7 linked regions of the Oryctolagus cuniculus genome follow. The protein of the gene in region 4 interacts with the protein of the main gene of each other region in a biochemical or structural test. Links are inferred from orthologs where the notes say so. Each region holds a gene or a part of one and is shown on either strand. Other genes may lie near its edges.

Region 1 (4,804 bases), on a different chromosome or scaffold from region 4:
TTTTCTAGTACATTAATATGTTACCAACAATTTGGTGAATAATGGAGAAACTTGTCTTGAAAGTCATTACTCACTTTTGTTTTTCATTTTATTTTTGCTCTTCGATATTCTTCTTATCTGCTTTGTCTCTTTCACATTTTTCTGATGTTTTAGAACCAGTAAAATCAAATTTGCCATTTCACTAACTCCTAGCACAGTGCTTATTTAATACACAGAAGATATTACATTTAACTTCATCTTAATTTCCTACCAATTTTTTTTAAAGATTAATTTTACTTGAAAGGCAGAGTTACAGAGAAAGAGAGGAAGAGACAAAGAGAAATCTTCCATCAGCTGGTTCACTCCACTTGGCAACGGCCAAGCTGGACCAGTCTGAAGCCCGGAGCTTCTTCCAGGTCTCCCACATGGGTGCAGGGGCCCAAGCACTTGGGCCACCTTCTGCTGCTTTCCCAGGCATATTAGCAAGTTGCTGGATCGGAAGTGGAGCAGCCAGAACAGGAACAGGCAGTGGCTTTACCCACTATGCAACAGTGCTGCATCCCCATCAATTTTTTTTAACAAAATTTTGTAAATGTTATGTGTTAGTTCAAATTCTTTCCAAAGTAGAAACTCAAAAATTCTACCAGTACTTTCTTTCTCATTCAGCAACAAAATCTGGAATTGTGTCAAGTTTGGTGCTAGGGACACAACCAGGCAAATCCCAGCTTTACAGGAATTCAAATCTAGCAATAGAAGGGTTAGGAAGAACAAGGAAACAAAAGTTTGATTCTGAGCAATGTGGCACAGTGGGTTAGGAACTAGTTCAAGCCCCAGCTGTTACACTTCTGATCCAACTTATGGACTAATGTGCCTGGGAAAGCAGCAGCGGATGGGCCAAGTACTTGGGCCCCTGGCACCCACACGGGAAACGCAGGAGACATTTCAGCAGCCTGACCTGTATATAGTCCAGTCCCAGCTATTGTGACCATTTGGGGAGTGAACCAGCAAATGGAAGATCTCACTCTGTCATTCTGCCTTTCAAATATATAAATAATTTTTTAAAAAAAAAAGTTGTTTTCTACCAACCTACCAAATATTTCCCCATTGTCACTTGAGAATTTTCCTGAATCCTTCCCTTTTCATTGTATACTTGCTGGACACACAATTTCAAGAGTTATCTACAGGGAAAGTATTGTGGCACAGCAGGTTAAGCCATCGCCTGCAATGCCAGACACATATGGGCACCTCTCTGTCACTCTTTCAAATAAAATAAATCTAAAAAAAAAAAAAAAAAAACTAAAATAACATTTCCTAGGAAGACATTCCTCTCCACCGTTGCCCATTGTTGCTATTTCAACTGTTTCAACAGTTACACTCAATTTATGAAAATTCCTTTTTGCCCTTTTCCTTCTGCAACTCAGCCTTACTTGAAAGATAGATCTGAGGTCTTGGCTTAGCTAAGCTGGAGAGACAAATATAATGGCTAACCGCAGGCTGCCTGAGTTTTTCATCTGAGCATTTTCTAGTTGTATAATCTTGGGTAACCTGCTTTACTTTTTCCTCATCCTGGTTTTTTTCATCTTTCAAGTGAGTATGATTACAATCTGTTTACTGATGACATGAGTAAACGAATTACTAATAAAATGCTAAAACAGTACTTTATTTAGAAGCATTTATTTCTTAGTTGTGATTAATAACATTTAATCTTCGTCTCTTGTAGGACAGAAATGGGTTTTCCTCATTCTGGTATCCCTCATACTGTTCACCATAGTGCCCTATATGTGTGTGCACCCAATAGCTACAGTTCAAAGAATAAAGTACCTTTATGTATTTTCACTAGTAGTCATTTTAAGAACTTAAGAACTAACCTTCAACAAAACGTGACCCTTCAGTAACAAACTCCAGTAACTGGTCGAAGATTGTAGTGATTGCCTTCTTAGCTAGCACAAAATGCTTCAGTGGAGATGCAGTTTCTGCCATTATGCTCCTAAAGGGAGAAACATAAAGTTAAAAAAGCACAAATTACAGAGTGATAATTACATGTAAATGATTAACACCGTCTAGGTCATTACCTCCCAAATGGAATAAATTAGGCAATTAAACTGCCAAAATATATTTAGGTAGTTGTTTTTCGGGGAGAAATGTTTTAGTCGGGCAATTAAAGACTACTATTCAAAGCCACTTCACTAAAATAAACGAAATTTGTTAGCCCAAGTTTCTACTTTATTTCCCTCTGGTGAATATGAAACTAATTGTGGTTGAAGTTGTGACTCCCAGTGAGTTTTAAGTACTTCAGGGAACTGAGCTACCAAGAAGCAAAGTTCGCAAACAATAACTAAGTTTCTCAACCTGGAGCTCTGTGAGGGTGGAAAGGGATATGCAGAGGAAAGACCCAGAATCCAAAATCACAAAGTAAAACTAACGTTTGGAAAGACATTTTCATCACAACAAAGCCGGAGACAAGGCTTACGCTTCCGGCCGCAGAACCAAAAACTTGGGTGAATGTTGAAGTTTTTCTGCCCCTGGCCGCTTCTCAGAAAAACACACACCAAGGACAAACCATTACGCCCCAGTCTAATCCTAGTCCGTGTGGAATGTGGCTCATGAAAAAGGCAGATCTTGCCAAGAGGGTCAAGAGAGGACGGCGCGAAGGGATAAGCGTGGGCTAAGCAGGGTGTGGGCAACGACCCGGTTCGGCCGGTGTGAACACCTACCTTGGGCAGAGGCCTTCCACGCCATACACACGGCCGCGGGAGCCTCGCCCGCAAGGTTCGGGGCCAGACCCCGCCGCCGCCCCACGCGCGCCGGCCCGGCCCGGCCCGCCGCCCTCACCACCACCCCCGGGCTCCAGCATCGTGGGCTCCGCGGGCCTGAGCCGGCCGCCGGCCCCGCTGGCCATCCGGTTCGCTCGCTCCCTTCCAGCAGGACGGCGGCGGCAGCGTCTCGTCACAGAGCGCTCCGCTCACGGCTCCCCGCCCCCTGTCCCCGGCCGCTCGAAGGTCACCCCGAGAGTCGCGAACCCGCCAGCGGTCGAAGCAGCTGACACTCACACGGTCCCAACTCCGACTGTCACTCAGCAACCACAGCTCGATCCAAGCTCTCAGGTTGCCTCATCCTCCCCAAAGAGGATATAAGCTAACTGGAGGCAGGAGGAGTGGCAAAAGGGCGGTCACTTCCGGTCCCTGGTCCTCTCCTATTCTGTTTGGTTCCGTGAACGGAAACGCGTCTATGCCGGCGCCATTTCTCTTGAGGGCAGAGGCAAAACTTGTTATGGGCAGGGACGCTCTTGGCAGGATAGTGGTTCGTTCCACCCTGCAACTTCCTTTCCTCCTCCCTTCTCACTTCGAAGTTCCCTAAAGCTCTGTCCATCTTAGGCGTAGCTGACTGTCATGGCTGCCTTAGGGAGAAGGAGGTGGAGTGAGGTAGGGTTAGGACGTCGTGAGACAGAAGGGACATCTGTGTTTGTGTGATTGCCTCTCTGGGGTACCTCTCACCCTGTATGTGTGTAATTACTTTACACGTCAGACCTGAAACTTGGTGTGTCCTTGGCTACTGTTTTTATTTTTTATTTTATTTAAATTTATTTATTTGAAAGGCACAGCTACAGAGAGAGAAAGGGAGAGACAGAGAGCTCCTCCATCCGCTGGTTAACTCCACAAATGGCAGCAACAACCGGGACTGGGCCGAGCTGAAGCCAGGAGCCAGGAGCTCCTTCCATATCTCCCACATGGGTGCAGAAGGCCAAAGGCATGGGCCATCTTCTGCAGCTTTCCCAGGCCATAGCAGAGAGCTGGATTGAAATTGGAGCAGCTGGAACTTGAACCTGCTCCCATATGGGATGCCAGCACTGCAGGCAACTGCTTTACCTGCTGTGCCACAGTGCTGGCCCTGGCTACTATCCTTAAACTTTGTAGTTAAGCTGCCCTTTGGTAGCTTTGGGATCCGCAAGGAGGAAGGCCTGTACTTCCAGGAATGGAGAAGTCCCTACCTGTACTTCCGGGGAAGAAAAGTCCTTGTCAGGGTCCCTGCGGGTACCTAAAGGTCAACCATGAGGATCAGACCCGCCTCAACCTTTAACTCCCATGCCCTGAATCTATAAAAGAAGCTCTCCCAATATCTGATGCACGACTTCCCCGGCCCCCGCTCTGTTGCTCTGTTGGGACCGGGGAACCCTGCCCGGGAGCGGAATCCTAATAAAAGCCTGTGAATTAATTGATTCGTCTGAGCCGGCGCCGTGGCTCAATAGGCTAATCCTCCACCTTGCGGCGCCGGCACACCGGGTTCTAGTCCCGGTCGGGGCGCCGGATTCTGTCCCAGTTGCCCCTCTTCCAGGCCAGCTCTCTGCTATGGCCAGGGAGTGCAGTGGAGGATGGCCCAGGTGCTTGGGCCCTGCACCCCATGGGAGACCAGGAAAAGCACCTGGATCCTGGTTCCTGCCATCGGATCAGCGCGGTGCGCCGGCTGCAGCGGCGGCCATTGGAGGGTGAACCAACGGCAAAGGAAGACCTTTCTCTCTCTGTCTCTCTCTCTCACTGTCCACTCTGCCTGTCAAAAATAAAAAAAAAAAATAAAAAAAAAATTGATTCGTCTGCCTGGGAAGATCTGTTATGCGCCAGACACCTTACACCCTTAAACTGCAAATCTGGGGTCAGCATCACAACCCCAGACTGTTTCTCACAACCCTATCAAAGTGCTGCTGCTATTCAAGGCTCAAGAAAATATTCTGGGATGTCTTTTCTCTCTCTCCCCCTCCCTCTCTTTTAATATTAAGAGATTTGGGACTAGTAAAGCTGCCGCCTGCAGTACCAGCATCCCATATGGGCGC
Region 2 (4,020 bases), on a different chromosome or scaffold from region 4:
TGAGTAAGCAAAGCAGCAAGCCGGATCAGGGCACACAGGCAAGGGTCTCCTCCCTCCACTGGGCCCGAGCAAGGATTCACCCACACATCCGGCGCACGGCCTTCCCCTTCCCAGACAGGAGGGAGACACCGCAGCGACCACTGCACTTCGCGGTCTTGCACTTGCGGGAAGATGTGGGAGGGACAGTGGGGAGGTGCTGAAGGGGCTTTAGGACAAGTTCCAGAGCTCAACCTCACTAGCGCTCACGACAACGATAAAAAGCAGCACTACTTTCCCCCGGGAAGTCTGGCCCAAGTGACCACGTCTGAAGTTCCGGCGAGAGCTAAGGAAATGGGAGTTCCCACAGGGAGCGCCTCTGGGAGGAGGAACGGGGCACAGCTGTGGTGGAGAGCAGCAAAGTAAAACCCAAAAGGCTGACTCTCCACCCTAGAGCAGCTGCCCTGAGGCCTGACTCCCGCAGGGTCCACGCAGAGCAGCTGCCCCGAGGCCTGACTCCCGCAGGGTCCACGCAGCTGCACAGGGGGTGCACAGGCAGCTGCCCGCTGCAGTGGGGTGTGTGAAGGCAGAGAGAGCAGAAACAACCCAGAAGAAAATGCCCCCCATCCCATACATGGGACACCTGCAAAAACTTAAAGTGAACAGTAAATATACAGCTTACGGTAATCTTACAACTGTGTCAATTTTGCTGAAATGTTCCCAGAACGTGGAACCTTGGGACTAATTAATATTCATAAACTCAAAACCAAGAAGCCTGGCAAAAATAACCAAGTCGCTGACCAACCAGGACCAAGGAGAAAACGGGTGAAAAGAGCCAGTGCAGTGATCTGCCCAGAGTGACCCCCGACAGAGCGAGGAGGCACCGCCACCCGTCGTCCAGGACACAGCTCGAGACGGCTGGGAGAGTGCGGACCCTGACGCTGTATCCGAGCGAACCTTCGACTCTTCCCGCTTCTGTTTACTTAAAACAATCAGATTCCAGCAGGTCCATCTTAGTGACACAGCGAGCTGGCGCCTTTCAAAGGACTGCCTATGGTTGAGTCACTTAGAAATCTTATTTTCTTATAACTGAAGTGCAGTAAAATAAGTGTTTGCTCATACCAAAAAAAAATTTTTTTCTGGAGCGTGTGGCGGCCGGCACTGCGGCATGGCCGGCTAAGCCACACCTGCAACACGGCTTCCACGTGTGCCGGCTTGCGTCCCAGCTGCTCTGCTCCCATCCAGCTCCCTGCTAATGCGCCTGGGAAAGCAATGGAGACGTCCAAGTGCAGGGGACCCGCGCCACCCACGTGGGAGACCTCAGTGCCAGGCTCAGCCCCACCCTTGTGGTCATCTGGGGAGTGAGCCAGCAGATGGAAGACCTTTCTCTCTGCTTTTCTCTCTCCTTCTCTATCACTCCACCTTTCAAGTAAGAAAAAAAAAATGTTTAAAAAAAAAAAAAAAAGAGTACTTTTTCAGTGGGAGGTGAGACTGCTATAACTTAATATAAAGCAAACATTGTCAATTCTGGTTGGAAGAAGCAAGTGTACTATATCATTCTCTGTTATTTGCTGTATTTTAAGTTTCTCGTAAAAATGTTGGCTTCACAACACGTGTCCAGGCTCTGAGAAGAGCCGCCGCGCTCTACAGGTGCAGACTGAGGTCTCTGACACCCACGACTGTGCTGCACAGGCCACGGGGCCCAGGCACCCAGCCGCCCTCCTCGCCAGGCCGTTCATGTGGCTCTAAGGCGCTCTGGCAGCTGGGGAAGGGCCTTGGACGGGAGCTCAGGGACTGCGCTTTGCCAGCCGGGCACGGCCTGGCGGCCTGGGCTGGGGCAGAGGGCACCACCTCTCGGCAGCCCTCTCTGCCCGTCCGCAGCCTTGGGCTCTTACCGCTGCTCCTGAGCCGCGATGTGCAGAGAGTCCATGATGAGACGCACGGCCTCCGCGATCTGCTTGGCCCGCACCGTGTGCTGCTCGAATTTGGTCTTCACCGCAGACTGAGAAATGCACTCCTGGAACAGGCAGAGGCACTGAGGGGGGTGGCGGCCGCCGGCGCCTGTAGCCAAGGGCCAGGCACTGAGGGAGGTGGGGGCCGCCAGCCTGTAGCCAAGGGCCAGGCACTGAGGGGGTGGGGGCTGCTGGCCTGTAGCCAAGGGCCAGGCACTGAGGAGGGTGGGGGCTGCTGGCCTGTAGCCAAGGGTCAGGCACTGAGGAGGGTGGGGGCCGCCAGCGCCTGTAGCCAAGGGCCAGGCACTGAGGGGGGTGGGGGCCGCCGGCCTGTAGCCAAGGGCCAGGCACTGAGGGGGGTGGGGGCCGCCGGCGCCTGTAGCCAAGGGCCAGGCACTGAGGGGGTGGGGGCCGCTGGCCTGTAGCCAAGGGCCAGGCACTGGGGGGGGGGGGGGGCGGCACCTGTAGCCAAGGGCCAGGCACTGAGGGGGGTGGGGGCCGCCGGCCTGTAGCCAAGGGCCAGGTTCTGCCTTTCACTGCCTGGACGCAGCAAGGGAGAGCTCAGAAGGCACAGGATTACCAGACACCAGCACCAAAGGACTCACCTCAAATCTCCTCTCAAAATTCTGAAACTCAAACATCCGCACTTGAAAGCCTTCAGCAAGAGCGCCCCCTGGGAGGAGAGTACGGCATCGGTGGGGAGATAAACAGGCCACGTGGAAACCACCCCGAAAGCCGCCGCCAGCAGGCACTTGGCTGGACACCGGCAGGACAGCCAAGACAGCCTCGCTCCAGGTCTTGCAGCTTCCTGTCCTTAGAGAGACTCTCTACCGACTGACTTGGCTGGAGCCCAGACCCTCAGACGTCAGGGAAGAGGAGGCTGTCTGTTCCCATAGTTACCTCCTTCGGGCATGCCCTGGGCCTTCTGGATCCTGGCATTGAGCACCTCCTTGGCAGACACAAAGAAGATGCGGTCCCCGGCCTGAGCGCGATCCACCACGCCCAGCTCGTCCACCAGGAAGCCGGTGCACCGCTCCATGTGCTGCCGCCGCACCTGGAGCCCAAACAGGCGAGTGTATGTGACCGGCTCTTCTGACGGAGCCGCAGCCTTCCCTGGACCGCCTCTCTAGAATACAGTGTAGTCACACAACTCGAGGTTCAAAGGCGCCAGGGTGCACACAGTGAGAGGTCTCCCACCACCGCTGCTCCCCAGCCCCGTGCTTGGGGGAACCCGTGTCCTCCCCGGGGGTTTCCTGGAACACGGCCTGCCAGATACTCTCCGTGTGCACAGCAGGAACCCGTGTACACAGCAGGGACCCGTGTACACAGCAGGAACCCGTGTACACAGCAGGAACCCGTGTACACAGCAGGAACCCGTGTACACAGCAGGGACGCTCCCACATTCCCCACCTGCCTCGCTGGGGGGCCCCGGAAGGAAAGGCACTCGCAGGGCAAGAAATCTAAGCCCGGGCTCGCGCTCTGACCAGCCGAGTCCTCCCTGGGCCTTAGACAGAAAGTCCCTCCTCGCTCCCACATCCTGGGGTCCCACTGAGAGCCGAGTGGAGACGCCCACCAAGCGTCAGGTGCTTCCAACAGATTTCACCCTCGGGACGCCCAGCTCACAGGGGAGGAGATGCGTCACCAGGAGGGCTAAGAAGCCCACCGCAGTCTCAACGCCCCGTGCAGGCCAGAACGTGGCCTCTGACCCGCAGGTGTGCGTACTTGATCGAGCAAAGCCATCACTGCTAATCTGTTGCCCTCTCTTTCTTTTCACGCTCATAAAGTGAGCTGTGACTGTCAGTGAGAACCAGCCATCTCTGCTCTTCTCTCCTGACGTCATCCTACGCGGCCCAGGTCAGTACTGAGAACCTATGAACAAAAGGAGCACCTGGCCCCAAACAGAGCCCACCACTGCGCTGGGGCTGCTTTCCCGACCTGGGGGAGAGCGCTGACTGAGGGACCCACCTAGGAAAGGGTGGGGGAGCGTTTCCAAAGCCAGCGGAGACCTGGGGAACACTTGGGGAATCTTTGGCAATGAAAGGAAGTCAGGGAAGTCAAACACCTGTGCCCGGGAGCGCAGGGAGCGGCCACC
Region 3 (4,486 bases), on a different chromosome or scaffold from region 4:
CCCGCCCACCCCTTCCCGGGACGCGGGCGCAGGGGCGGGGCGGGCGGCCCACCTGGTCATCTGCTGGATGCAGTGCGCGCGGTAGTTCTCGTAGTGCACGTCGCACGTCACGTCCTTGAGGTCGTGCATGTGCGTCCGGATGAGCATGTTGCGCAGCTTCACGAAGTCGCAGTGCGCCTGGTTCTCCACTGGGGGGCAGGAGCGCGCGGCGGGTGTGGGCGGCGGGCGGTGGGCCAGCGCCCACCCCGAGGGGACCTGCCCCTCCCGGGCCCTACCCCAGCCCACCCCACCCTCCCCGGCCCCAGCTCACCCTCTACGATGCCCCAGGGGTACAGGCGGCCCCGGACCCGCTGGCCCTTGGCTTCCACCACGGTGTTGCTGCCAATGACTGCAAAGGGGGCGCTTTCCTGGGGGGAGGGAGCAAGGGCTCAGCCCACCCGGCAGGTGCTCAGGCCTGAGAGGCTCAGCCTGGGGGCGCCCCTCCAGCGTGCTGTCCTCGCCTGCTGGCTTCTCGCCGCCTCCCAAAGCCCAGCAGTGCCTCCCCGGTTGCCGAGGCTCCAGCAGGTGCCCCGTACCTGCCCCCTCTTCTGGCTGCTGGGAGGCCCCCAGAGCCCCCGCCCTCGGGAGCTCTGGGAACATTCACCTTCAGCTCCCGGTCCTGTTGCTTAAAGTCCTCATCCTCGTCGGAGTCACACTCGGGGAACTGGTACACATGGATCCCGAATTTGTCGATCTCTTCCCGGATCTGTGGAAGTGGAGGGACACCCAGGGCTGTCGGATGGGGCGGGCTGGAGTGGCTGGCCAGGTGGCCCTGGCTGTCTCCAACTCCGCCCCCCCCCCCCCGTCCCTGGGGAGCCACTCCGCCCCAGCAGGGCTGACCCGCTCTTTCAGCTTCCGGATCTCGCTGGGGACCAGGCAGTCAGCCTTGGCAATGAGGGGCACGATGTTGACTTTTTCGTGCAAGGCCTTCATGAAGCCCACGTCCACTGGCCGCAGCCTGCGTGTGGAGAGAGGGGGGCACGGTGATGGCACAAGCCCAGCTTGGCCCCTGCCCACGTCCCCCTGCACACGCCCAGCCTGGCCCCGCCCACGTCCCCCTGCACACGCCCAGCCTGGCCCCGCCACGCCCCCTGGCCCTGCCCAGCCCGGCCCGGGCCCCGCCACGCCCCAGCGGGGCGGCACACCCGTACCCGTGCACACGCCCAGCCTGGTCCCGTCACGCCCCCTGCGCACGCCCCCAGCCTGGCCCCGCCCACGCCCCAGCGGGGCGGCACACCCGTACCCGTGCCCAAACGGGGAGATGAAGTAGAGGCAGCAGTGCACGCGGTTGTCTTGGATGTTTTTGCGGTTCAGGCCGCTCTCGTCGCGGAAATACTGCTCGAACTGCTGGTCCACGTAGTCCGTGATGGGCTTCCAGCTGGGGGCCGGGGCAAGGTGCCAGCATGAGGCCAGGCTGCCGGCCGGGCAGGGAAGGCTCCCAGGGGAGGTGCAGGGTGGACCAGGCCCTTGCTCACCACTCAGAGTTGTTGACGGCATCCCCAAAGCCCGGCGTGTCCACAATGGTGAGTTTCAGCTTGACCCCCTTCTCCTCGATGTCCACGGTGTGCTTCAAGATCTCCACTGTCTGATTGATGCGTTCTGGGGGAGGGGGAGGGGCCCTGTGTGGAGGGGGGAGGGCTACCCCGACCCCCCCCCCCCGCCACACCGCCTGACTGCCATCAGGGCCACCCCCTTGTCGACCCTGCACAGGAGACCTATGCTGTTTGAGGAAGAGGGTGCTGGACCTGGAAGGGTGCCATTCGTGGTGTGGGGGGGTGTCTGGTCACGTGGCAGGGGTCCGTGGGTCACTCACCCTCCGCACTCAGCAGCTTCCGGTCCTTATAGAGGTCGGTCAGGAAGAGGCTGTGTACCAGTGTGGATTTCCCCAGGCCGGACTCACCTGCCCACCGGTACAAGTGAAGGGGTCAGCTTAGATCTGCGCATGCACACACACACACACACACACACACTCGCCCACACCACCACCACCACCAAGGATGCAGCCTGGCTGGCCCAGGGACCCCAAGCCCAGCCCACTCACCCGCCACCATGAGCGTGAAGTCAAAGCCCTTCTTCACCGACTTGCGATGCACCTGGTTGGGCAGTGTGGCAAAGCCCACGTACTGCTTGTCGATGTCCTAGGAGGGAGCAAGGGGGGGACAGGTGAGGGCGTATGGGGGAGAACCAAACGCCCTGTTGCCTACAGGATAGAGGAGACAGCAGTGCCAGCAGTGGGGTACCTGGTCGGTGAAAACAGCAAAGGTGTGGAGGTGGGCAGACACCCCCTTCCCCAACCTCAACCAGGACCCCTTCCCCCCCAACCCCAGACTGCATGTGCGGGTGCGGGGATGGCGACAGGCAAGTGTCCTCCCTTTCTGGGTATAAGGCACCTGGCCTGGGACACACTCAGGGCCCAAGAAGAGGCCAAGCCTCAACACTCACCCCCTGCTCCGGGGCCAGGGCCCTGGGAGGCGGCCCCTCCTGGCCCGGATCCAGCCGTGGGGGCGGCGGCTGCAATGGCAGCGGCAGAGCAGAGGGGCTATTTATAGCCAGCGGCGAGGAGCCTCCCCCGCCCGGGAGCGGGGTCCCAGCCCCCACCCCCCGGCGGACCCTGGCCCTGCCAGCCACCGCCACGTCCCCAGGTTCACACAGTCCTGAGCTGGGCAGGCGCGCACGCACTGACCCACATTCTGCCCCACGTCCACACACACACACACACACACGCACACACACACCTTGAGCCGCCTCTGGGCCTGGGTCCGTGGCGACAGCAGCTGCTCCACCAGGCGGTCCTGGGGCGCTGCCAGAGAGTCCATGGCGGCGATCCCCCCCCTTGGTGACCCTGCCCGGCCGCGTGGACCCGGGCACTCGCGAGGGACTCACGGCCCGGACTGCCCCTAAGCCTGGTTTTCGGCTCCGCTCGGCGCGCACGCAAACTCAGGGCCGGAGCCGGGATGCCGCCCACCCGTGGCAGCGGTCCACGCCATGCCCCTGCCTCTGCGCTGCGCCCCCGAGCGCCGGCAGCTGCGTCGCGGCCTGGGGCAGGCCCGGCTCCCGCACCCGCGCTGGAGGCGGGGCTTCGCGGCGCTCGCGGCAGGGGGGCGGCGGGCCGGGCCCCGCCCGCCGTCGCCGGGAAACGGCCGCGGGGAATCGGGGCCGCGGGGCGGAGAGCCGGAGCGCCGGAGCGCGCGGGCGCGGCCACGGCGCCGCGTGCGCCGGGAGCCCCGCGGGGCCCGCGAGGCCTCAAGTCGGGATGTCAGCACAGCGGGCAGGTCGGGGTGGGGCTTTTGTCGGGGCCGGGACGCCCACGCGGGCGGGACCCGGGCCCGCGGAGAGGGTGGGGGTGGGGGTAGGGGGCGTCTGTGGTTGTCGCGGTGCCGCCCGCCAGAGGGCGCTGGCGTACCTCCCGGGACCCACGCGCAACCGCGTGCAGCGGGCCCCGTTCGGCACCCGCGCTTGCCTCCCAGGTGCCGTCCGCAAACCTCCGGGCGGTGTCGCTGCACCTCCCGGGTGCCCACAGACGCACCCTCTCCCCTTCCCATGGTGATAACATCCATGCGCGTGCGCGGGCGCGGGCGCGGGCGCGCGGGTGCGTATTTGGGGAAGTCTTCCCCGCCATGCAGGGAAGAAGGCGAGGGCAGAGCCCACCTCTCTCGCGAGGCGGCGGCGGCGGCTTGGGGGAGGGGGAGGGGGAGAGGAGGAAAGGGTCACCCTCCTCGGTCCAACTCCAAACTTGGAAGCCCCGCCAGCAGGCCACCCAGAGCAACCCCCATGGAAGATGATGGAGTGGGGCCCGCCCCCACCGTCCCTGGGGACACCGCCTGCTTTGACCCATGCAGGAGTAAGGGCTGGAGAATTCCCATCAGCTCGGGTCTGCCCCTGGTGTGGCCACACCAGGAACCCCGCCAGGGGACGCCTGAGCGCTGCCAGCAAACCCTTCTAGGTGGACCGGAGTGCCCCTGGCCGGCATGCAAGCGGCAGGGGGCCCTTACCTCCCTCAAACAGACCCTCCCTTCTTGCGTCCCCTGGCAGAGCAGCCTGGGCCCCCCTGTCCAGGCCCCGGTCCCGCTCCGGGGCCTCCAGCCACTGGCACCTGGAGGGGAGGGCAGGCCCACGGCTGGGGAACAAGGGAGCCCTTCATTCGGTGGACCTCGTGTTGCCACTCCCCCAGCAGCCACAGAAAGCCGCTCCCTGGCCCTGGCCAGCCCTCTGCAGCCCAGAGTCCGCTGCAGCTCCGGCTCTGCCAGTGTCCACTTCACACAGCCCTCAGCCCAGCAGCACCGTCCAGACGGCAGACGTCTCTGGCCCAGGGGACCCTCTCCTCCTAGCACACAAGCCCTGGCTGGGGCTTCAGGCTGGGAGACAGCCTCAGCACCTCACGCCCTGGTGTCTGGCGGAGTTTGTTGTGTGCCTGCTGCCTCAGTTTCCCCACTGGCAAAGCTCAAGC
Region 4 (4,516 bases):
ATAAAGTAGTGTCACTGTATCATTTTCAAGCAATGAAGCCATGAAATTCATAAGAAGTAAAAAGCACAGACTTCTAAACAATCCTCAGAAGCAGGCTAAAAATTGTAAAGGCCATATGGTCATCATCTTAGAACTTGGGACCCAAAGAAGAATTGCATATAATTACATGAAATCTTCCGTGTAAAGTTTGGTAAAACCTATTTTTTGGCACAATTGGACCTCATGACTTAAGAGTCATTTTTTATGTAAAATTATTAAAAGGCAATGGCAAGTAGCAGTACACAGGACATTCAACTAGAAATATAAATTCTGAGACTTTAAAATTTACTATAAGTGTGCAAGCTTTAAAAAAATATTTATGGGCAAATAGTTAGACTGCACATTCTCGAGGGCAGGGCACTTTTATGTTTCATACACTGTACCAGACACAAATAAGTGCTCAATTACTGGGTCTGCTTTTGTGAAACGAAGGCATTATAATACGAGGAGTGGCCTTTTTTTCTTTGTAAATTCATTTTAAAAATTAAAATACATACTGCTTTTCATCTATCAGGAAGACAAAGTGAAAAGTATGTGATGGCTCACAGTGGGCAAATAGGTGCTGCTATGAACCCTGCCAGAGAGGGGGCCAGCAAGGACAGCGGAGCAGCTGTGCACTGAAGGGCCTGGGTGAGAGGGAGGTGGGTGGCAGGGGAAATGCAGTCAGGGACTGCTGCTGCCAGCTGAGACACTCCTGGAAAGGACGTCTTTCGGTAATTTTCAGCCTAAGAGGAGCAGACCAGCTCCTTGCTACCTTGCTGTGATAGTAGAGGGCTTAGACAGGAGTGTAAAATAGGGCAAGTTATTTCAGAGCAATTTGGAAAAATCTAGCAAACTTCAAAATCATTCAGAAATCGTACTAAGATTTTTACTTTATGCTTACCTATGTAAGTGGAAAAATATGGCCACAAAATATAGCTGATTGGAGAGTATGCACATAACTATTGTAGCCTATAATTAAAAGACTAAGCAGGAATTACTGTGGGGGTAGATCTGTATATGCAGACATGTAAGTTCTTTGAGATGTTAAGTTGAACAAGGTATAGAAGAGACTGTGTTCTCACTATTGGATTTGTTATCAATCAAAAATCTTTCAAAAGTGTAAGACACTGAATTTTAACATCAGTACTGAAAACGTTACAACCACGTAAACATTTATTATTTAAACAACTAAATCCAGTTCTACAGGACATTTAGGGTATCTCACAAATATCACCATTAAGTTTCATTTTAAATACAAAGGTCCTTTGAAGAAGGTAGGAATATATTACTAATAGAAGTAGTCAAATTACATTCTAATTTGAACGTTCTTAAACTTTTCCAATACGTCTCATATATTCTTGAAGTCCTTCTCCATACTGCTCACAAAGGCACAATTTTTTCACCAACTTCAATTGAATTACGTTTCTGTAGCTGTCTGGGTCAGGTCATTTACCATATCAATCATAACGTGAGGGGGAAATGTAAGCACTTTTGAAACAGTCCACGCCAAGATGGGAAAGTTAAAGGAAAGTAATTTTATTGGATTGGGGTAACAATTTGTCCCCTTGCTCCTACCTTTCCAGGAACCTATCTTTTTCTTCTCCCTCAAAAGTAAGGCAGAATTTAAATAAAGTGGCAGAGTATGATTTGCATTAAGGAGGGTGTAGCAGTTTCGGAGGACATAGGTATTAAAGGGGAAGCTCCGAGAATCACTGCTACCGTTATCTTAAGAAAATCTCCCAATACATAAATGTTTTGCTCTCCAACTGATCAGTGAGTAAAGATTATGATGTATTTCATGGCTCCAAAGGGTAGTCCCGAAAACGAAATCCATCATGCCAGGGCTTCCTTTTGGTTGCTTTTACCTACCTTTAACACTGTTCAATACACCCAACTTCAAAACCGGCATTTCTGATTTTTCTTGAAATGTACACACTGACAGAATTAGTTAATGCATCTAAGGGAATAAAACAACTTACTGTACGTGGCGCAGATGGTTTGTATAGGTAATGCAGGTTTCTTAGGGGGACTGTGGACTTTATCATTTATGTTGCAAGGCACACTTGCACCATGTTAAACAACAGCTGTCATGGAAGAAAGAACTGTTTGTAAACCACCTCAGATTCTCCACGCAACCTAAGTGTTTTGTCCGTGACACTTGCCAAGAATAACCACGACTCTTACTAAACCTTCCAAAGCTAACCCAGAGCAATGAAACCCTTTAAATAGCCCTGGATGGCCCCTGAAGTGACCTTCGACCTCGCCACCCCGAGAGGCGCTGGCTAATCTACACCTGGCAGTGTGGAGCCACGACCCTAACAGCCACTTCCGAAGTTTCATTCACAAAGCCGCACCTACGTCATTTCTGTGGGTTTTTTTCCTTACTTCATTCTTTTTTCTTTTCTTTTTTTTTTTTTTTTTTTTTTTTTTTGCGAAAGGCAGACTTAGTCTCTGCGCTATTCACACTCGGGCGTTCACCTCAGAAGTTCGACGCCAAAGATCCGAGGGAGCAGGAAGGCCAGCTCCACCCGGGGGCGTCTCCTCGGCTCCCCGCCGGCCTCGCCGGGGCTTCCTCCGCGTCCGCTCCGAGCGGCCGGCGGCCGCCGCGGCCCGCGGGGAGCCACCGCACGGAGCGCCCCGGCCCGGCGGACCCGGCCCGGCCGCCCCGGGGCCATCGGCCGCGCTCGGCGGGCGCCCCGGGCAGGGGGCGGAGGACACGCACGGGTTCCTGGACCCCAGCGAGGCCCTGAGGAACCGAGCCCGGCGGCGCGGGCTGACCACGGCGCGGACACTTTCTCCGCCGCTGACAGCTGTCACCTGCCGGCCCCCGGGCGTCCGGGCTGTCCCGGGCGGCCGGGGCGCGGGGGGCGGCGCAGACAGGCTGTACCTTGCAGGCACCCACGTACCTATCATGGTCACTGGGCAGGAGCACGCTGCTGGGCAGGAAGGGGCCTACGCGCTCCCCGGCTCCCGCCAGCGCCTCCCACGAGTGGCGCTCCGGGGGTGAAATCCTCCAGGCCGCCCCGCCCCTCTCCCCCACGGCGGCAGGCCGTCGCAGTGCGCACGCGCAGGCGGCCCGGGGCCTCCTGGGAGTCGTAGTTTGAGGGCGTGGCTTCTCCTCAGGCCTGCGGCGGCCCGCCGCCCTTTCCGGCAGAAGGCCCAGGAAACGTACGTCACGGCGGGGCGGGGCTTGCGGCCCGCCGTGTTGACGAGTCGCCTAGCAACGGAGAGGCCCACCTTTGGAAGCTTGTTGCAGCTCTAGCCACGGTCCTGCCCTCTTCCCGCCCCTCGCCTCCCTAAACTCCCTTCACCTAGGAGCTGCCAAACATCGGGATCGACCTGGGCACCACGAGGGGTTGAAATTCTACCATTTACGCGCCTTTCCACATTGTTCCCGACCTCCTGCTCACAGCCGTAAAACCCACTGACTGTTTGACTACACTTTTGTAGGAGAACAAGACACTTTCTAGGAAGATGGTGGCAGAAAAAGAGACCCTGAGCTTAAGCAAATGCCCAGACAAGATGCCGAAGAGGACCAAGCTGCTGGCGCAACAGCCGCTCCCGGTGCACCAGCCTCACGCCCTGGTGTCTGAGGGCTTCACGGTCAAAGCCATGATGAAAAACTCAGTCGTAAGTGCCCTTCGCTCGCTCCGAGGCCGGGGACGCGAGAGGTAGAGGCTGGTGGCCTGGGATGGGCCTGGGATGGCCCAGGTCAGGCCAGGTGCCGAGGCTCCCGGGCCAGGGATGGCGTGCGCCCACGGGTGAGCATCTGCCCAGGCCCTCGTGGCTGCTGGGCCAGGCCAGAGTATGTCCTGAGCTGGTGACACGAAGCAAAGCACCCCTGCCCCTACCCATCCAAACCAGCCCCGCTCCGCCGAGGGCCCTTAGAAATCGTCAAATTGCGGCTGCTGACAGGCGCTGACAGACAGCTGGGAACAGAAACCCATCCAGTGAGCCACACTAGGACGCCTCTGTTTAACCTCGACTCCTTAGAGAACCCTAGCATTTACTCCATCAGCGTTCTTACAAAGTGGTTAACCTTACAAAATGGGAAACTGTCCCTCATAGGCCTTTTAAAGATCTTTGAAACAATCTAAGCTTTAGTTCAGGTGTCTCTGCCTTTTAATACCATTCACATTGCTATAGTTTGCGGTAATAAAAAAATTATATTCTCAATACTATTAAGAAAAAATATTTACAATACGCACCAGGTTATTTTGAAAAACCTTCTTATTTGTTACATAGTTTTTAATTTGCTACCCTAAGTCAGGTTTTGCTGAGAAAACAGGTAGCCACGAATAATCAAATAGTAAGTGCAGGATTCAAATCTATGAAATTCACCCGCTGGGAGGATCTGGTGCATTATCCGCTAAGTCGTCTGTTAAATGAAGAGTGGTGCTGTCCTGTCGCATTATTTGTTTTACCTCTTTGTTGCAAATGTCGTGCCATCTTCCTAAACCAGCTCCTTAAAGTACATGAATGGACCTGAATAGCG
Region 5 (4,020 bases), on a different chromosome or scaffold from region 4:
TGGCCTAGGTGTTTGGGCCCCTGTCACTCCTACAGGAGACTGGATGGGGTTCTGGGCTGCTGGCTTCAGTCTGGCCCAGCCCAGGCTGTTGGAGCCATCTGGGGAGTGAACCAGCTGACAGATGATCGCTCTCCTTTTCTCTGTAACTCTGCCTTTCAAATAAATAAAGTGAAATCTTTTAAAAAAATAGCCTTTTAGGTAAATTTATATATGAAGTACAATTGCTTGCTCAACTAATATGGTTACACTACTTAAATTTGGAATAATGATTTAGTTCATGGAAAGTTGCTGTTTTTTGTTTGTTTGTTGTTTGTTTGTTTTTTAACAGGTTATAAGCAATGCCTTGAAGGTTTGGGGGTTGGAACTAATCCTGTTCAACAGTCCAGAGTATCAAAGGCTCGGAATTGATCCCATGTAAGATTTGTTTTTGTTTTTTTCTACATTTCTTTTCCTAAATTCAATTTTTTTTAAATTATAATTTTTTAAAGGAGAAAAACACGTTTCCCACCTCCCCTTTTGATGTCCGTGAGCACCTGCACATCGCTGGGCCTCCCAGACTGCGGTCGTAGTGCGGTGCCAACCCTGGCTGGCGCCTCGGGCGGCTTGTCTGGGCACCGCATGTCTGAGCTGCTGCACACTGGCTCACACCATCGTGCCGTTCTTCAGAGTCAGTGGCACAGAACTGCAAATGCAGTCCTGCATTAACGCAGATTGTGTATAATGCTTGCTAGTTGGCAAAATAAATGAACATAAACTCCTGAAATTTCAGCCTAATATTGTATATGTGTGTTTGTTTTGCTTTCCAGAAATGAAAAGTCATTTATATGCAATTATAAAGAACACTGGTTTACTGTTAGAAAATTAGGAAAACAGGTAATATTTCTCTTCCTTTTATCTTTTTTCTTATTCTGTCTTCCATTTGAAGTAGAGGGGATTGGTGCTTTTAAAATGAGGAAACTGACCAGTAATGTGTGTGTGTGTGTGTGAGGCACAGTTTCAGTTTTAATAGAAATTTCCCATTTTAAAAGATAGCATCAGTTTCCTTTATAAATTTATGTGTGACAGCTGTGTACAATTTAGGTATATCACAGGGGAAATTTCATATTTAAGGTAATACAAATATCATTACCTTTAAGTGGGATTTTATGTAATGAATATGTCCTGTCAGTTAATTATTAACTTTTAGAGATTTGTGTTTAGCATCATACTGTCACAAAGTCTGCGACAGTGTCAGGCACAAATGAAAACATTCAGCCATGTTTCCTTGATGTAACAAGATCATTCACAGAATTCCAAAATGCCATATGATAAAAATATATGCATATAAAGTAATGTCCATTTTAGAAAACTATGGAATATGTCTTGAGCAGACTTTTTTCTTTAAGCAGAATCATTTAAAATTCTTCTTATTAGAATTTTGAGTCTTTGAAAGAGGGCTGTGTGAGATTTGGCTAGTTTAATAGAAAGGAATGAACTGTTGATCATGCTACCACATGGATGAGTCTCAAAACTTGTTGAAAGCTTTGTTTCCTTTTATATAAAAGACCAGCCAAATTCAAACCAATCCTTAGGAACAGCAAGTGTCTGAACCAGCAGTTGCTGGCAGGTGAAGAGGGCAGGGAAGAGAGAGTCGGCAGTGGGCAGTGGCCACAGAAAGCTGGGCAGGGATGGACACGTTCACCTCCTTGGCTGTGATGGCTTCATGGGTGTATACAGACGTGAAACTTTTCAAGTTACACATTGGAAATAGGTTCAGTTTTTGCAGGTCAGTTACATGTATCAATAGAGCTGGTTAAAAAAACACAGTAAATAAAAAACAAGAAGGTGAAGTCAAGAAAACGTACATTGAATTAAAACATTAAAATAGAATTCAAGACAAAAATCTTACTGTAAATTTTTTTTTTTTTTTTTTTTTTGGACAGGCAGAGTTAGACAGTGAGAGAGAGAGACAGAGAGAAAGGTCTTCCTTCCATTGGTTCACCCCCAAATGGTCGCTATGGCTGGCGCACTGCGGCCAGCGCACTGCACCGATCCGAAGCCAGGAGCCAGGTGCTTCCTCCTGGTCTCCCATGCGGATGCAGGGCCCAAGGACCTGGGCCATCCTCCACTGCACTCCTGGGCCACAGCAGAGAGCTGGACTGGAAGAGGAGCAACTGGGGCAGAATCTGGCTCCCCAACCGGGACTAGAACCCAGGGTGCCGGCGCCGCAGGTGGAGGATTAGCCAAGTGAACCGCGGCACCGGCCCTTACTGTAAATTTTTAACTCTGCTACCTGGAAGCAGATTCATCTTCAGTGGGGGTTCCTCCTAAGGAGCTCTGAGCAGGTCAGGAGGTGGAGGGCAGAGGCTCAGCCTAGGCACCTGCCTGAGTGGGTGTTAACATGGGGAGAAGCCAGGCAGGGCACTGCCAAGGTAAGTTAACTTCTGGGTTTTATTTATACCTTCAAATAAATTATGATCCAGTGTTCTTTTCCTGTATAATTGCTAGACGTTTAGGTCTGAAGACTTAGATTCCACAAATTTCTTTGTGTTGATTTGTTAAATTTTGATCTTACTATTTTAAGAGGTTCTTCAAAATCAAAATTTCCCATCATAACTATTTTTATCTTTGACAAGTATAGAAGACATCCAATTTTACTTTATTGTCTGTGGTTCTAATTTATAGTTTTGTTTAAAATTGCATTTTTCACTATAGACTCTTCTCCGAGAGACCTGTATAATGAGAGAGACGACTGCAGTGTCAGAATCCAGCAAAAGTCATTGGTTATGATGTTGACAGTAACTTTTGAAACTTTTTGAATCTTGTGGGTTGAAGTCGGATCCTTAAGAGATAATGTCTAGATCGGGGTGGAGAACATCCAGCCCCCAGGCTCCACAAGACTGGCAAAATCACTGGGTCTGGCCTTGCCAAGGCAAGTGCAGGCAGCACTCAAAAAGCAATGAATCTGTGGCAGGCCAACTTTTGAGTCAATAATTTTGTGTGGTCCATGAATATTGTTAAAAGTATCCGAATAGCCCTTGACAGAAAACAGTTCCCCACCTGGCCCTGGTGGTGATGTTAATTATATGTGACAGTGGGTTAGTGATCTTTGTAAAATGAGTTGGTGACTATAAATTGTCTTCTGGAAATGGCTGACCACCTCAAACTGGAATATTTTGACCACAATTATCAGTAGTGGGAAAATTTTATGTAGTGTCATTTCTCTTCCATATCAGTGTGATGTGATTAGTAATGTTGGACTGATGGTTTGAAAAAAAGTTCAATTATCGCTATCAGTAAGAAGACTTTAAAGTACATTTGGTCCCTAACTTAGGATGGTTCCACTTACAAAATTTTTTCATATCTATTCATTTTTACTTATTTAAAAGGTAGAGAAACAAACAAAAATAAACAGAAAAAGAAAAAAACATTAAAAATAAAAAGCAGAGAGAGTTCTTTCATCCATTTGTTCACTCCCCAAATGGCTGCCATAGCCTGGGCAGGGCCAGGCTTGTGCTAGGCACCAGGAGCCAGGACTCATCCTCTGCCTCCCACAGGCATTGACAGGAAGCTGGATCTGAAAGCAGAGGCGGGAGTTGACCCCAGACACTTGGATGTGAAATGTGGATGTTGCAAAAGGCAGCTTAACCAGCTGCACCACGGTGCCTGCCCCACTTAGCATTTCGTAATTTTTTGATGCTGTGAAAGCTATCCATGTTGAATAGAAGCAGCATATTGAACGCTGGTCTTTTCCCCAGGCTAGCGATATGCAGTGCAGTCCTTTGTCACGGTGCCAGCCAGAGGCAGCAGGCTGAGGCTCCCAGACAGCCGTGAGGTCATGAGGGTAAACCCTGATTCTCAGTGCCCCGAGTCGCTGTACTGATGATGGTATCCTGTGGAGGCCGGGGCTGCTAACTGCATCTTCAGCTTAGAATGGTTTGATTGGGACGTAGCACCTTCGTAAGTTGAGGTGCATCCGTGCTTGATTTACTACTTTATAGGGGGATTTAGAGTTTATGACTTAAAACTTTTTTAAAAAGC
Region 6 (4,020 bases), on a different chromosome or scaffold from region 4:
CTTCGGAGTCAGGCCGGGAGGGCTGGAGCCCGGGCTGCCGTCGGCCGCGGCGTCTCTGAAGACCTCGTCCCCGGCTTCCTCGCTCTTTTTCGCCAGCCTGGGCGGGGGGGTCACGGTGCCTCTGGTCACCTGGTCGCACCTGTTCTCGCTGGCCCGCTTCCGAGGCAAAGCTGGCTTTTCGCTTTTGTGTCCTCCAAACGTGGACGAGTCGAACTGCCTCCCGGTGGACTGCAGGTCCCGCGGCAGCGTGACCGACCTCCACTCTGCGTCCTTGGCCCCGTGCGGCACGCAGGAGGCGGAGCAGGAGCGCAGGAAGCGCTTGCTGGAGCCGCCGCCGCTCTCCTCTTCACCGGCCGCCAAGCGGCTGCCGGTCATTGTGCTGGACTTCTGCCACAGGTGCGGGGACCGGAAGCCCGAGCCCCCGGCCTCCCGGCAGGCCCCGTTGGGAACGCCGGCGCCGTTGCTGGCTTTGGGGGCCTTGGCTGGCTCGGTGGCGTCTGAGGGGGCGAGGGGCGGCGCCCCGTTGCTGACGTCCCGGCCCTCGTCCTCGCCGGGGCCCCTGCGCTCCTGCGGGCCGTCCATCTCTCGGAAGGAGCTGCTGCGCTTCGGGGGCGTCGGAGCCGTCTTCTTCTTCTTCTTGATCAAGGCGCTGAACAGGTTGGTCTTCTTGTCTTTGGGGAGGAGGCGCTCGTCCTCATTCAGGCCGCCGTCCGGGGGGCCTCGCTCTTTCCGAGGGAGCAGTGGAGACACGGCAGGCTCGTGGTCCAGGGCATCTGCAAGGCACAGGAAGCGGTGAGTGACCCCGAGCCGCAGCTGCCCCTGCGCTCTCCCGGGGCCCCGCCAGCTCGGCCACCTGCTGCTGCCGGCTCAAACGGAGCACAGGCAAAGCTCGGGCCGCGCTGCGGGAGGAAAGGTGCGTGGGGCTGTGGGGCTGAGGCTCGGCCGCTGGCCTGGAACCTCTCACCACCAGGCGAGGGCCCCGGTGCCTCAGTGGACAGGAGCTGGCGAGGGCCTGGCCCCGTCCCTGCAGAGCCCTCACAGCAAGGACAAGGCCACACGGCGCGTCGGAACGCTGGCTCCCGGACAGGGGGCCGTGCTGCCTGCGGGGAGTAGCCCGGCGGGCAGCCACCACGCTGGTCTGTGGGAAACAGTGATGCCCTCTGACCATTTCTAAATGGTTCTTAACTACCCAGAGTGGGGGGTAAGAGATCTTCCCGGAGCTGGATTCTCCCTGCCTGGTGGCTGGGAGGGATTCAGTGTCAGCCCTGGAACTCGGGGCGGGGCAGTGCGGTGTGGGGAGTCAGAGAAGGCCGAGGACCCCCACCGTAATCCGCCGAAGGGGGGTGAGCAGAGTGGAATTCCGGCGACTCAGCCTGCAACCCTCCTGGCCTGGGCGAGAACGCGCCTCTGAAGGCCCCACAGAGGGGCTCTGGCGGGCACAGGTGGGCAGGACCGTTCACCACTGGGCTTTCACCAGGTACACGACATGTTCCCATGGGGGCTCTCCCCACAGCTCAACCACCTGGACCCCCAACACAGGGGTGAGGGACAAAGGTCCTAGGGCATCCACAGGCCACGGCTTCCACAGCAGGGTGAAAAGAAGGCCTAGCCGGCTCTGGAGAGAAAGTCTTACATTTTGGGTTTATTTCTCATGTCATGCATATTTTGGGGTGCACACTGCAATGTACACACATTCGTGCAGCCATGTATAGCACACACACGCACACACACTCTCTCTCTTTCTCTCTCGGGCTGTGCTGACCCCGCTGCCTGGCCCACCCAGGACTGCTGGCTCGGGGCAACCACTAACTCAGGGCAGAGCCTGCACACAGGAGGCCGAGAGGAACCCTGAGGAAGCAGGAGGCCGCGGCGGCCGTGCGCTTCTCCTGCCAGCGCCCCCCAGAGCAGCTCTCCCCGCTGGGTCAGCAACGCTCCCTGTCCTGAGTGCCTGGGGAGAGCAGCCACACGTGCCGAGGGCCACACGTGACAGGCACCCACCACCTGCCGAAGCCTAAGCCAATGGCTCCTCGGCGACTCCCCGGGGAGAGCTCTCCCCTTTCCAAGGCTGGCTGCCGCCCTCCGTGCCTGGCCCACCCACAGTCTCCCATCCAGGTGTGGACGCTCCCTGGGCCTCCCGCGGGAGCAGGAGAGGGAAGGGGCGGGGTGGGTGGAGACGTACCGCTCTCGCCCTGGCCCTTGGAGTGGGGCGCGTCGGCGGCGTCGGCGGCTCTCCTGGCGGTTCTGGTCTTGGTGGGCAGTTCTGGGGCCTGCAGCAAGGCGCTCGCGGCCCCCCGTGCGCCCCGTCTCCCCAGCTCCTTTTCCACTTCTAAATCACACACAACACAAAGCCAGCAGCGTCAGCCCCGGGCCAGCTCTTCCACTAGGAGGAGAGTGGTCATCTCCACAGAGCTACAGCACAGGCACAGGTGCGCAGACGTCCGACGCCAACGCCTCTGCCCGCCGCAAGCCGAGGCCCTGGGCTGGAGTCCCACATGGGCGCCCCCAAGCCAACCTCCCCCGCTGGTCCCCCCACCCACAGGCCCCCTGGGGGTGGACATTTTACCATCTGAGATACTGGATTCTTGGAACATCGTTTCAAAAGCTTGGTGGATTTCAGCAAAGGAGGGCCGGTCTGAGGGACTCCACTGCCAACCTAGACAGACGAGACCAGGTCAGGCCACCGTGAGGCCGCGCCAGCAAGCACGGGGGGCCGGGGCCGGCACCCTCAGGAACAGTCTGGAGACCGAAGCAGCACTCAAGCCCTGCTAGCATCGTTTCCTGTGACAACTGAAACAGACGATCGCCACTGTGTCCTATTACAGACATGAAGACACTGGGATGGCGTCAGATGCTGGCAGGAACGGGGACTCCAAGCCCAGAGAGACGCTGACAGGCGCAGCAGCACCCACAGACGCACTCTCCCACTGCACTCTGGGAGGTGCAGCTAACGACTACACTTCCTGATTATCCAAGTTGGAAGCCCGCATCAGTAAAGAACGCTAATTAAAACAAGCCGGCACTGGGTAATTAACATGAATGACAGACGGGCAGGAATTCGGTGCAGTGGTTAAGACGTGACATGGGATGCCCATGGCCCACATCACAGTGCCAGGGTTTGAGTCCTGGTTCTGCTTCTGATCCAGTTTCCTGGGAGGCACAGGTAGAGGCTCAAGTCCTTGGGCTACTGCCACTCATGTGGTTGACCCTGAACAAGCTCCGGGATCCTGGCTGCTCTGCTTCCAGGGCAGCTTCCTGATAACTTGTGCCTGGGAAAGCAGAGGAAGATGGCCCACGTGTTTGGGCCCCTGCATCCACATGGGAGACCTGGAAGAAGCTCCTGGGTCCTGGCTTTTGGCCTGGTCCAGCCCCAGCTGTTGTGGCCATTTGGGGAGAGAACCAATGGATGCAAGGCCTGCCTCTCTGTCTCTCCCCCTCTCTCTATAACTCTGCCTTTCAAATAAATAAATCTTTTTCAAAAAAGTTAAAATGCCTGCAGTTATCAAAAGTACCAGTGTAGGAGCAGAGGGACAGGTGTAAGGATGTCCACTCCTGTCTTTCTTACAATGGAAAGACCAAACAAATATATAAAACAATCAATCGCTCATCAATAGAGAACTGGATGGATGAATGGATTGTTCAATGGAATGAAATAGGAGGAGGGCGAAGGGGACTTGAAAACCCAGGCATGGAAAGCCCACACCTGCTACTAACTCACAGGCACGCGCACACGCCCACACGAGCACGAGTGATGCCACGGCACGGAAGTGAAGGGGCAGTCCCGCCCCGAGGGGTGGTCCTCCGAGCACAGCACTCAGGGCTGAGGAGAAACCCAGGTTTGGGTAGGCAGCGTTTGTGCGCAATGTATGAACAAACACACAAGCATTAAAGAAAGTGAAAAAGATATACATCCAGGGGCCAGCGCTGTGGCGTAGCGGGTAAAGCCACGGCCTGCAGTGCCGGCATCCTATATGGGCGTGGGTTCAAGTCCTGGCTGCTCCACTTCCAATCCAGCTCTCTGCT
Region 7 (3,230 bases), on a different chromosome or scaffold from region 4:
GGTTTGTCGGGGTGGGGTTTTTATTTTTTAAGCCGTGGGAAGCGCACGGCCTTACCTCAGCGGGAGATGGGGGTGGGGGCAGGGAATTGTTTCAGTGTGGTTCTCCAGCCTGCGCTACCGGGTGACACCCTGCAGGCGTGGGCGCTTGTCGCAAATAAAAGGAGAGCTGCCCCCGAGCCAGCGGCCCGTGCTGTCCCTGTCGCCAGCGGCTGCATTCCGGAGTCTGGTTTCTCACTGCTGCCCGAGACGGAGCTCTGCTCCTCAGCCACGACATGGCCACGTCCTGGCTTTGCAAGGGCGGATACACGGCCGGGGTGCTGACCGCTGAGATACAAAATCGAGCGGCAGCTTGCCTGGCTGACCTTGACGTCCACCTTGCTTTAGGCAATAGCTGTGTTCCCAGAAAACACATAAATCGCAGTCTTCCCCGGTGACCTTGCCCTGCGAAGTCTTCTCACATCAGGGTGTAAGAACGGAAGCAACATGCAGTCCAGCCGCACTCGTTTCTGCAGTTGTAACTGCATTTAATGTTGCACTGTAGGGCACCAGCACGCCTAGAACACCAGAGCTAACTCCCACGGCGTTTCTCCCTGCCGCTGCGCAGGATTCATGCGGTAGCAGGAGGAGCAATGCGCTCTCCAACACACCGGGCTGTTGACACAGACTGCGGGCGTGGTCCACCCGACCCCCAGCCCCTGCAGGCCTCCCACCGAATACACTGCCTCATGCAAGTGTGCGCCTCTGCCCAGGTGGCCTGTGTGGGTGAGGCCAGTGTCACAGCCGCACTGGCCAGGACAGCTGCTGCCTTCGGTGTGGACCCTCCGCAGCCTGGCTGCGCCCTGCTGTTCACCTGTGTGTTTGTTCGTCTGACCCTCTGTGGAAAGCTGACCACACCCTCGTTTAGAGCAGTGTCTAGTTTTGTTAGCCAGAACCAAGGTGCACACGGCTCACAGTGCCCGTTCCGAGTCACACAGCTGGGGTGAGGCCACTCTCTGAACATGGCCTCCCCAGTGGCTGCCCAGCCCCCTGCCATCCATCTCCGACCCCCTCCCCGCTCACACAGGAGCCCACCCTCAGCATGCACAGACCTGCACCACACAGATGCTGCCAGGCTCCCTGGTCGTCCCCAGCTATGCGCAGAGCTGCCCCGGGGCCGCCCTCCATGCGCGGAGCAGCAGGGCCGCTTGGCAGAGCGCCTCACACTCCAGGCTGGCCAGAAAGAGCACCTTCATCTTCGTCTCCACACAGCTCCTCCCGGCCAGCATGGCGGCGGCTGACTGCTGGAGGAGCCAGCCCACCACCCGGTCCAGCTGCAGGTTCTTCAGCGCCAGGATCTGCTCCCCCCACAGGCTTAGGTGCAGCACGTTGGCGGCAACTCGGGCGGACGGCCTCTGCGACAGGAAGGGAAACTGAGGCTCGGGAGCCCGAAGCTGCCCAGCCCTACCCTCTCCCCGCTGACAGATCCTGGCTGCTGTCCCTCCATGTGTGCAGCACGGGGTGGGGGGGGGGGTAGCACACGTGTACGTGCGCCGGGGTGGGTGTGGCCTCACCACTCCAGGTGGGGCTGTTAACTATTAAACCTTCACCGACACCTCCCCTGGGCCGTGAGCGGTTGGTGGCAGGCGTCCCTCGGCTGTGCACCAGGCTGGCCCCAGCTCAGACTTGACTGTATTCCGTCAATGTTGATTTCACAACGTCCAGATCTGCTCTGCAGTGTCCCCGTCTGATTAGGTCTGGCTGCTTCCATCAGCCACGAGTCCCATTGTCAAGCATTTCTGAAAACTGCATCCTTTTCCCCCTTAGTGACTTCAAAAAAGACCTGTCTGGGGGCCGGCGAAGTGGCACAGCAGGTTAAGCTGCTGCCTGCCAACGCCAGCATCTCAGGAGCGCTGGTTTGGGTCCCAGCCGCTCCACTGCTGACCCAGCTCCCTGCCCGAGTGCTGGGAAGCAGCAGCAGGTGGCCCAAGAACTTGCCACCCACATGGGAGACCCACACGGAGTTCCAGGCTCCTGCTGTGGCCCGGCCCAGCCCCGGCCATTGTGGCCACTTGGGGGAGTGAACCAGTGGAAGGAAGATCTGTCTTGGCTCTCAGTGCCTCTCTCTTGTGTTTATTTACTTGAAAGCAGAGTGACAGAGAGGAGAGAGCACACCCACACACACGAGTGACTGATCCGTCTGCTGATTCAGTCCTCAAATGCTCACAGTAGCCAGGCATAGGCCAGGCCAAAGCTGGGAGCCTAGGCCCACGGCTGGGTCTCCCATGTGGGTGGCAGGGACCCGAGTAGCCAGGCCATCATCTGCTGCCCCCGGATGCGTTACAGGGAGCTGTCAGGCGCAGAGAAGCCTGGACTGACACCAAGCACTCGACGCGGGAGGCGGACACTGCCCACTGTGTCACAACACCTGCCCCAGTGACAAGGCAATTAAAGCCAAGAAAAGAACTGTTAGAATTCCAGAACTCTGGGGGCCGTGCTGCAGGGTAGCAGGTAAAGCCCCAGGCTGTGACACTGGCACCAAATGGGCACAGGTTTGAGTCCCGGCTGCTCCACTTCCAACCCTGCTAATGGCCTGGGCAAGCAGTGGAAGATAGCGCGAGTGCTTGGGCCGCTGCAGCCACATGGGAGGCCTGGAAGCAGCTCCTGGCTCCTGGCTGTGGCCTGGCCCAGTGCTGGTTGTTGGCGGTCATCTGGGGAGTGAATCAGCAGGTGGAAGATCTCCCTTTCTTTAACTTTCAAATAGATAAATCTTTTTTTTTTTTTTTTGACAGGCAGAGTGGACAGTGAGAGAGAGAGACAGAGAGAAAGGTCTTCCTTTGCCGTTGGTTCACCCTCCAATGGCCGCCGCGGCCGGCGCGCTGCGGCCGGCGCACCGCGCTGATCCGATGGCAGGAGCCAGGAGCCAGGTGCTTTTCCTGGTCTCCCATGGGGTGCAGGGCCCAAGCACCTGGGCCATCCTCCACTGCACTCCCTGGCCACAGCAGAGGGCTGGCCTGGAAGAGGGGCAACCGGGACAGAATCCGGCGCCCCGACCGGGACTAGAACCCGGTGTGCCGGCGCCGCTAGGCGGAGGATTAGCCTAGTGAGCCGCGGCGCCGGCCTCAAATAGATAAATCTTAAAAAGGATTTGAGAACTCTACTGATTTAGTGGCTTGCCCTCCCCCTCCCCCCGCCTCCGCCCCCCGGCCCCCCCCCCAATGAAATCTTCCAGCTCTCTGTATGGGGCCTTTGTA

What was found.
Region 1: of the proteins of PRKN (region 4) and MFN1, one has a biochemical effect on the other in vitro, tested with the Homo sapiens proteins (3 studies listed by BioGRID). The link is inferred for Oryctolagus cuniculus from reciprocal best matches to the Homo sapiens genes PRKN and MFN1.
Region 2: of the proteins of PRKN (region 4) and MFN2, one has a biochemical effect on the other in vitro, tested with the Homo sapiens proteins (2 studies listed by BioGRID). The link is inferred for Oryctolagus cuniculus from reciprocal best matches to the Homo sapiens genes PRKN and MFN2.
Region 3: of the proteins of PRKN (region 4) and SEPTIN5, one has a biochemical effect on the other in vitro, tested with the Homo sapiens proteins (2 studies listed by BioGRID). The link is inferred for Oryctolagus cuniculus from reciprocal best matches to the Homo sapiens genes PRKN and SEPTIN5.
Region 5: the proteins of PRKN (region 4) and ATXN3 form a complex in vitro, tested with the Homo sapiens proteins (4 studies listed by BioGRID and IntAct, with this or other methods). The link is inferred for Oryctolagus cuniculus from reciprocal best matches to the Homo sapiens genes PRKN and ATXN3.
Region 6: the proteins of PRKN (region 4) and ABL1 form a complex in vitro, tested with the Homo sapiens proteins (2 studies listed by BioGRID, with this or other methods). The link is inferred for Oryctolagus cuniculus from reciprocal best matches to the Homo sapiens genes PRKN and ABL1.
Region 7: of the proteins of PRKN (region 4) and PINK1, one has a biochemical effect on the other in vitro, tested with the Homo sapiens proteins (12 studies listed by BioGRID, with this or other methods). The link is inferred for Oryctolagus cuniculus from reciprocal best matches to the Homo sapiens genes PRKN and PINK1.

The regions. Positions count from the first base shown.
Region 1 is NC_091435.1:100,466,407-100,471,210, forward strand, and holds the start of MFN1 (mitofusin-1), read right to left. Parts: upstream 2,961-4,804; 5' UTR 2,879-2,960; coding exon 2,694-2,878; intron 1,967-2,693; coding exon 1,848-1,966; intron 1-1,847. UniProt on the Homo sapiens protein: Mitochondrial outer membrane GTPase that mediates mitochondrial clustering and fusion. Membrane clustering requires GTPase activity. It may involve a major rearrangement of the coiled coil domains.
Region 2 is NC_091438.1:156,486,585-156,490,604, forward strand, and holds part of MFN2 (mitofusin-2), read right to left. Parts: intron 2,983-4,020; coding exon 2,829-2,982; intron 2,602-2,828; coding exon 2,534-2,601; intron 1,994-2,533; coding exon 1,872-1,993; intron 1-1,871. UniProt on the Homo sapiens protein: Mitochondrial outer membrane GTPase that mediates mitochondrial clustering and fusion. Mitochondria are highly dynamic organelles, and their morphology is determined by the equilibrium between mitochondrial fusion and fission events.
Region 3 is NC_091452.1:27,463,409-27,467,894, reverse strand, and holds the start of SEPTIN5 (septin-5), read right to left. Parts: upstream 3,128-4,486; 5' UTR 2,856-3,127; coding exon 2,775-2,855; intron 2,551-2,774; coding exon 2,482-2,550; intron 2,178-2,481; coding exon 2,081-2,177; intron 1,940-2,080; coding exon 1,853-1,939; intron 1,639-1,852; coding exon 1,515-1,638; intron 1,418-1,514; coding exon 1,283-1,417; intron 998-1,282; coding exon 880-997; intron 746-879; coding exon 644-745; intron 408-643; coding exon 311-407; intron 189-310; coding exon 53-188; intron 1-52. UniProt on the Homo sapiens protein: Filament-forming cytoskeletal GTPase. May play a role in cytokinesis. May play a role in platelet secretion.
Region 4 is NC_091436.1:6,000,073-6,004,588, reverse strand, and holds the start of PRKN (E3 ubiquitin-protein ligase parkin), read right to left. Parts: upstream 3,063-4,516; 5' UTR 2,935-3,062; coding exon of another isoform or gene 2,928-2,934; intron 1-2,927. Other genes in the region: PACRG (parkin coregulated gene protein), read left to right, coding at 3,496-3,651. UniProt on the Homo sapiens protein: Functions within a multiprotein E3 ubiquitin ligase complex, catalyzing the covalent attachment of ubiquitin moieties onto substrate proteins. Substrates include SYT11 and VDAC1.
Region 5 is NC_091451.1:37,338,421-37,342,440, reverse strand, and holds part of ATXN3 (ataxin-3), read left to right. Parts: intron 1-328; coding exon 329-414; intron 415-806; coding exon 807-873; intron 874-4,020. UniProt on the Homo sapiens protein: Deubiquitinating enzyme involved in protein homeostasis maintenance, transcription, cytoskeleton regulation, myogenesis and degradation of misfolded chaperone substrates.
Region 6 is NC_091432.1:233,496,696-233,500,715, reverse strand, and holds part of ABL1 (tyrosine-protein kinase ABL1), read right to left. Parts: intron 2,654-4,020; coding exon 2,564-2,653; intron 2,327-2,563; coding exon 2,180-2,326; intron 774-2,179; coding exon 1-773. UniProt on the Homo sapiens protein: Non-receptor tyrosine-protein kinase that plays a role in many key processes linked to cell growth and survival such as cytoskeleton remodeling in response to extracellular stimuli, cell motility and adhesion, receptor endocytosis, autophagy, DNA damage response and apoptosis.
Region 7 is NC_091438.1:150,126,670-150,129,899, forward strand, and holds the end of PINK1 (serine/threonine-protein kinase PINK1, mitochondrial), read right to left. Parts: intron 1,392-3,230; coding exon 1,131-1,391; 3' UTR 501-1,130; downstream 1-500. UniProt on the Homo sapiens protein: Serine/threonine-protein kinase which acts as a sensor of mitochondrial damage and protects against mitochondrial dysfunction during cellular stress.